Linked DNA regions of Sus scrofa. The protein of the gene in region 1 purifies or fractionates together with the protein of each later gene. This does not show direct contact. Links are inferred from orthologs where the notes say so. Each region holds a gene or a part of one and is shown in the gene's direction. Other genes may lie near its edges.

Region 1 (4,095 bases):
TGATATATACAAAACTTGAGGAGAAAAAGTTATGCCTGCTCACAGAGCAGGGTGAGAAGCTAATGGCTGATTGTGGAAGGGTGAGGGGGGGGGGCGCGGGGATGGAAAGATAGCCTGGGTTGCCTTTGTGAACGGCCTTACACTCAAAGTAGAGGATTGTGGGCTTTTCCCTCCTTTAGCCATTGGAGAGCCAGCAAAGGTCATGTTGTCTTGTTAGGCTCATAGTTTTCACTGATCCAGAAGCTGTGTTTCTTTTATTTGCAGGAACTTTTTCAACAATTAGGAAACACTGCCACCATGTGGCTGCCAGGTGATGCATGCTCCAAACTGTAAGCCACAAATTTTCGGATATTAATAATTACACCAAAAAATACATCTCTTGATTCAAATAGCTGGAGTAAATCACTGGTAACCCCAATTCTAATGTAAAAAGAGTACTTTCAAAAAATCTTTTCAAGAAATCCGTCACGGGGTACAATTCTCTGATTTCTTACTTCGTTTTTAAAATTCTAATCTAAATCCTCATTGATTCTTAGGATCCTTTCTATTCCCAGTAACCCCTATCTCAGAATCACAAACTCACGGGCCTGGAAAGGCTCTACCATTCCCAGGTCAGCTTGGCATCAAACTGTCTCCAGGCCATTTCCCTCCGCGGTGGCAGATTCTACTTCAGTCCCCCGTCTGTTCTCCTTGTATGGTTCCTAGTTGGACAGACCCAAACTCAAATATTTCCACCATTTTTTTTTTTTAAGCTGGGTGATTTGGGGCAAGTGACCTAAGCTGCCTAAGCTTCAACTCGTTCATCTGTAAAATGGGGAGAAGCCTTTTCACAGGGTGACTGTAAAGATGAAAGATGGCATGTCCCTAACACATCACAAGGAAGTCCCTTTCTTTCCCCTCCGTCCTTGAGTGCATATATTGTTGAGGCCGCAGCACGCACTCGGTGGAGGTCTGTGATCTGAGGTTTACCTGGGTCTTCAGCACCGTCCCCAGGGAACGAAAATACTGGTCCCTTCATGCTTTGGGAGGATCACCGGTTTCCTTGCGTTGCCTACCGACCTTGGGCTGGCGATTGATCCATGGGTCTCCGGTGAGCGCAGCCGGCGACAGGTGCGTGAGCGTGGGCGGGGCTGGGGAGGCTTTCATTCCTCGCCCCACCCTTCCCCAGGGCTGGGGGGGGGCGGTGTAGGAGGATAATTCAATCCCCGTGGGACTAGGTGTCTGGCCTCACCCGTGGCTCCGCGGATTGGCTGTCTCCGCTCGCCCCCGCCCTCCGTACCCTCCCCAACCCCCCCCCCACGCCCCAGGTGGCCCAGGCCCCCAGTGGCAATCCCTGTTTACCCGGAGAGCCTGTGCAAGTTGGGCTCCATCTCGGCATTCTCTCCCCTCTGGGGCCCCGCCCGCCCGGAAAGCGGGGAGAAAACCGGGCCGAGCCATTCCTCGCCCTTCCCCTCCCCGCACCGCCGGGAGAGGTCGGGTAAGGGGGACCCATGTGTGTGTGGGGGGGGGAGTCTCAGGCCTGGGGGGGGGCGGTCCGGCTGTCACCCTGTACTCGCGCGGACCCGGGAGTTCTATCCCTAGGCCTAGCTCCCTCTCCTCCGCCCCGGTCCTGTTGTGCTCAGGGTGACGTGCCCACCCTGGGCAAACAGCCAGAGGCTGGACCTCAGGGATGCCCAGGTCCCTAGAGGAAGCACAGACGTGGAGGCTTGCCTCACAGGTATCTCCCCTCCTTCCCCCAGGCGGCGATGACCCCCAAGCCAGCCGGACCCCCGGACGGGGGCTGGGGCTGGGTGGTGGCGGCCGCAGCCTTCGTGGTGAATGGGCTCTCCTACGGGCTGTTACGCTCCCTGGGCCTCGCCCTCCCTGACCTCGCGGAGCATTTTGACCGAAGCGCTCAGGACACTGCGTGGGTCAGCGCCCTGGCCTTGGCGGTGCAGCAGGCAGCCAGTGAGGGGGGGGGGGCCCGAGGAGGGAGGCGGGAACTGGGGTGGGCGGGCCATGAGGGCAGTGGTGGGGGGCTCACCTGATGGATTACCAGACAATCTATTGGTGGAACTAAGTTCTAGAAGAAGAGTGGGTCTAGAGGGCAAGAGAAGGGGCTGCTAGACAGCGGGGGGGCGTTTAAGCCATGCAAACAGCCAATGAGAAGTGTTGGAGCGACTTTGGAGGCTCCGGGAGCGTGTCTTCCGTTGACCCCGCCCCCTTCTAGGCCCAGTGGGCAGCGCCCTGAGCACCCGCTGGGGGGCGCGCCCGGTTGTGATGGTTGGAGGCGTCCTCACCTCGCTCGGCTTCGTTTTCTCGGCTTTCGCCCGCAGTCTGCTGCACCTCTATCTTGGCCTGGGCGTCCTTGCTGGTGAGGGGGGAGGGACACCCGGGTTCTTAAGGGGTGATGGTGCAGAGCCCAGCTCGTTGGGGGCCAGAGGCCAAGGGGGCGGGGCCTCCTGCAACCAGCGGGGCCGGGACGGCGGGGGCGGGCGCTCCCGCTTCCTGCCCTCACCTGGTCCTATCCATTCGCAGGCGCCGGCTGGGCCCTGGTGTTCGCCCCTGCCCTTGGGACCCTCTCACGTTACTTCTCCCGCCGTCGAGTCTTGGCCGTGGGGCTGGCCCTCACGGGCAACGGGGCCTCCTCGCTGCTCCTGGCGCCCGCCTTGCAGCTCCTCCTGGATCATTTCGGCTGGCGGGGCGCCCTGCTCCTCCTCGGCGCCGTTACCCTCCACCTCACCCCCTGCGGCGCCCTGCTGCGACCCCTGGAGCTCCCAGGCGACCCCCCGACCCCACCCCGAAGCCCTCTGGCAGCCCTCGGCCTAGATCTCTTCACACGCCGGGTCTTCTTGGTTTTTGCTCTAGGCACGGCCTTGGTGGCGGGCGGGTACTTCATCCCCTACGTGCACTTGGCCCCTCACGCTTTAGATCGGGGTCTGGGCGGATACGGGGCAGCACTGGTGGTGGCGGTGGCCGCGGTGGGGGACGCGGGCGCCCGGCTGCTCAGCGGGTGGCTGGCGGACCAGGGTTGGGTGCCCCTCCCGCGTCTGCTGGCGATGTTCGGGGCTCTGACCGGGCTGGGGCTGCTGGCGGTGGGACTGGTGCCCGTGGTGGGGAGCGAGGAGGGCTGGGGAGGCCCCCTGTTGGCCGTGGCTGGGGCCTACGGGCTGAGCGCCGGAAGCTACGCCCCGCTGGTGTTCGGTGTGCTCCCGGGGCTGGTGGGCATCGGAGGTGTCGTCCAGGCCACCGGGCTGGTGATGATGCTGATGAGCCTCGGGGGGCTTCTGGGCCCTCCCCTGTCAGGTAAGGGCCTGAGCCAGCAGATCCATTCGCATCCCTCCTCTGCACCTGCGGTCCGAGGCCTCTGACGTCCTTTCCCCCTCCGCTCCAGGCTTCCTAAGGGATGAAACAGGAGACTTCACCGCCTCCTTCCTCGTGTGCGGCTCTTTCATCCTCTCGGGCAGCTTCGTCTACATGGGGCTGCCCAGAGCGCTGCCCTCCTGCCGTCCAGCCTCGCGTCCAGCCACCCCTCCCCCGGAGAGGGGGGAGCTGCTCCCCGCCCCTCAGGTGGCCCTGCTCTCCCCAGGAGGCCCTCGCTCCACGCTGGACACCACTTGTTGACCATTTTCTTGTTGGAGCCCCTCCCCCAATAAAGACTTTATGATTTTTCCTGCAAACTCCAATTGTTAGGCAATCTAGGATGCTGGAAACGCTCGACTTAAGATATCCATAAACACTGGTTCAGAGGAAGAGGATCCCGCTAAGCCCCAGAAGGCAGGAAGGGTGTTTGTTCAGGCAGTCCATTTCTCTTTGCCCATTACAGCAGGAAATCTTTGAGAAATCGTTTGCTTCCTCGCAGCTTCAGCTGGTTGGGGGGGGTGAGAGGGGGTGGTGTGCTCCCGGGTGCTAGCTGCCCCATTCTCATTTCCCAGATAACTTTTTCCTGCATGTCAACCTCCTTCCACTGGCCTGAGGGAAATATAAGAATCCCAGACCTGTGGAGTTCCCTCGCAGCACAGTGGGTTAAGGATCCAGTGTTGCCACTGCCGAGGCTCTGGTCACTGCTGTGGCACGGGTTCTATCCCTGCCCAGGAACTTCCACATGTCACAGGA
Region 2 (3,517 bases), on another chromosome or scaffold:
ACTTATAAAAACAGCCATATTTTTTGAAATGCATAGCCTAATTTATACATATGTGATACTAGGCAAAAAATAGATTTAATCTAATTATGTTAAACTTTTAGAATGTAGTCTCCATTTGCTATACTCACAGAAACTTCATCAGATAACCTCTAAGAATATTTGAATGCAGATTAGCATTATTGATCAGTGCAGTTGAGTGATAGAGCAACAAAGACATCAAATGGCCTGAGAATAAAATAAAATTATTTAAATGGATTAAATAAATTAGTGCCAAAATAACTTAGTACAGATGTTAAAAGACTAAGGAAAACCCAAGGAATCTCAGAAACCAACTTGTCTGAGAGAGAAATTCAGCTATGAAGAGACAGAAGGTTTGCAGACCACATCAAACAGGCTCATGGGGATGTCTACCATTCCTTTACATCGGCTTGAAAAGGCCTGAAGATGTCATTCTCACTTCCAGTCTGAGGAACTCCCAATACCAGGAGCCAGTGATCTTCCTTTACAGGATTATCAGATTTAATAGCTTCATTAATAAATAGTTGATTTAATGAATGTATGCCTGCACTTGTGGAGGAGGAAGTATTTTGAACAACTATTCAGGGATTAGAATGTGAAACCTTAATAGCTGGAATTTTTCTTTATTTCTAATTGCCAGAGAATATTTATGCACAGTGACTTGCCACTGTAGTTTCAAACACTCAGTGCTAAGTACTTAAAGCAGAGCATACTTTTCTTTTGTTGGCTACCTCAGAGATTAAACTCTGATAAGACTTGAGCTCTGTTATGTACAACTTCTCACAAATTTTAATATGTCTTTTCTAGTAAGCATTTTTTTTTTGGCAATATCTTATAGCTTTCACTCAAAACTAGATCATTCAGGACATGTATCTTTATGTAATATGATAGGAATGGATTTTAATGTCTCCTTATACTAGGTTCCTGTTGGTGTTCAAACAAACGATAAGTATGTGATCAATGGAAAAAACGCTAATGAAACAAGGCTCAAGATAATGCAACTTTCAGAGGAAGATCAGGGATCCTACTGGTGCCATGCAATATTCCAACTAGGCGAGAGTGAAGAACACATTGAACTTGTCGTGCTGAGTTATTTGGTACCCCTCAAAGCATTTCTTGCGATAGCTGCTGAGGTTGTTCTTTTAGTGGCTATTATTCTACTTTGTGAAATGTATACCCAAAAGAGAAAGAAGCCATCAGGTAGGATTTCTTTTTTTAGATAACATTCTCATGTTATGATTTAATACATTACAGTGACTCTAGAGTTTTTGGGAAAAATCTAACTTTTGTTATTTGTGGTGGTATTTATGTTAATATCAATGGTTACAGTGAGCTACGAGTTTATATTGATCTTCCTGTTTCAACTTCTTAAAAATTTTTAGTGTTAAAACATACCCTTTTTTTCCCCTTTGATGTTACTGGTACCAACACATCAATTAAGTAATACGTACTTCGGTACTGGAATGTTAGGAAATTCTGTAGAAGTTTATATAAAAGATCTCAAAAACAATTATTCTTTCACTTAACTCATTTTTTAACTCATTTTTTAAAAGTTTTATCAAATATTCTGGAGTTATATCCAGAATATCAAATATTCTGTCAGTTTTTTGTTTTCATAGCCTGTGCCTGATGGATTACAGGCTGAGAAACCAGTCATCCCCTAAGAAAATTCATCCTACATTCTTTTTTCCCTGATTTTATACTAAATTGTTAATAACCTAAATAATTACAAATCAGTCGATCCTGTTTTGGCAAACCCAGGCACAAAACTATGCTTGTTCAAAACTCCAGATAGTTTTGCAGTCGGGCGAGCAGGGAAGGAGGTGGACATGCTGGAGGCGCAGCCGTCTAAAGGAGCACGCCTCTCTCTGTCTCTCTCATTTCAGAGCAGGAAAACAGCACAGGCATTTGGGGGTGTTGAATTCAGGGGAAAGCTGATTTGAACATTTATGCTCCATTAAGAATAATAAACCAATCTTACTGGTTCAATTTTTCTTTTGTTACACAGATGATGGGAAAGAATTTGAACAAATTGAACAGCTGTAAGTATTATTTTTTTACAGTTTAATTTTCACTTAAGTAAAATACAGTTAAATATGAAATTAAATGTCTGCAGTTAGAGAAAAAAGAGTACAAAGTATGTGTGTTATCTTCTGTATATGTCCATGCTGTGGTAAAGAGTGGCATCTGGCATTCATCTGCTTGCAGTAGAATCCCCCTCCACCACTTACTTTCACTTGTCTGTGCTTCACTTTCCTCCTCAAAAAATGGGTTTAATAATGTTACTTACCACGTAAGTTTTTTGGATTAAATGACTTCCTGTATGTAAAAATGCTTAGCACAGGCTTGGATGCACAGAAGGCACTCAGTAAGCAAAAGAAAGTATTATTTGAGCAAAGTAATGATTCTCAACCCATCTATATTTTTGATTTTAAGGATGCTCTTTAAAAATACAGTTACTCAGGGAGTTCCCATTGTGGTTCAACGGATTATGAACCTGACTAGTATCCACGAGAATGTGGTTTGGATACCTGGCCTCGCCCAGTGGGTTAAGGATCCACTGCCGTGAGCTGTGGTGTGGGTCGCAGATGTGGCTCGGATCTGGTGTTGCTATGGCTGTGGTGTAGGCTAGCAGCTGCAGCTCCAATTCAAGCCCTAGCCTGGGAACTTCTATATGCTACAGGTGCAGCCGTGAAGAGCTAAAACAAAAACAAAAACAAAAAAACAGTTACTCAGATCTAACTAGATCTCTCAGATCAAAATGTCTGGAATTGGTGCCTGGTCATCTGTATTTCAGTGTCTATCACTGATTCTGATTCTCTATCATATTGAAAATTACTGAGATAGAATTCTATTATTATTTTTGAAAGAACATACACCGTGCCACTATTTCTCTTACAGTATCCTTTGTTTAGAGTTGAGCTGAACATGAAAAAAACTGGGAAGAAAATTATTAGGGATATCGTTTGGTTTGGTGAAGGTGGGAGTTGTTGGTTCTACCAAGCCAGAGAATTGAAAGTAGAGCCCACTGCAGGAGGTGCCCCCAAATGGGCTTAAAGTCCAAGTAACAGAACCAAGGGCTGTGGGCCAGAACATGAGATGATATTAAAGTATCCAAAAGAAACCTGGGAAATAGGTGCTCTGAACAACTCTTACCAACCCATGACACTTGAAGTTTATCTTCATTAGTCAACAGGGGCTTGCTCTGAGGTGTGAGTGCTATAGCCACAGTTCATGAGCCAGAGGGAGGCAGACAGTTGTCATGTAGATATTCATAAACATTAAATAGTTACTCATGGCAGGCAAAATATACCAACAGGATATGAGCTTCTAAATTAAGGGTATAAAATAATTGTATCAAGAGTTCCGTAACTCAAGAAAGGAAAAAAGTATTGTTTTAGAATCAGAGATTCTCATGATTGTAGGGGATTTGAACCTCTTTATGGAGAATGTGGACATCTTATTTATATTGATTTGAATGTTTTATCTTTCTGGTTCC

Evidence for each region. The genes of interacting proteins can lie anywhere in the genome.
Region 2: the proteins of SLC16A11 (region 1) and EMB purify together in Homo sapiens (co-immunoprecipitation; 3 studies listed by BioGRID and IntAct, counting the BioPlex papers as one, with this or other methods). This does not show direct contact. The link is inferred for Sus scrofa from reciprocal best matches to the Homo sapiens genes SLC16A11 and EMB.

The regions. Positions count from the first base shown.
Region 1 is NC_010454.4:52,439,674-52,443,768, reverse strand, and holds the start of SLC16A11 (monocarboxylate transporter 11), read left to right. Parts: upstream 1-1,292; 5' UTR 1,293-1,477; intron 1,478-1,739; 5' UTR 1,740-1,745; coding exon 1,746-1,947; intron 1,948-2,209; coding exon 2,210-2,353; intron 2,354-2,517; coding exon 2,518-3,285; intron 3,286-3,373; coding exon 3,374-3,603; 3' UTR 3,604-4,095. UniProt on the Homo sapiens protein: Proton-linked monocarboxylate transporter. It catalyzes the transport of pyruvate across the plasma membrane.
Region 2 is NC_010458.4:30,128,985-30,132,501, reverse strand, and holds part of EMB (embigin), read left to right. Parts: intron 1-938; coding exon 939-1,218; intron 1,219-2,026; coding exon 2,027-2,060; intron 2,061-3,517. UniProt on the Homo sapiens protein: Plays a role in the outgrowth of motoneurons and in the formation of neuromuscular junctions.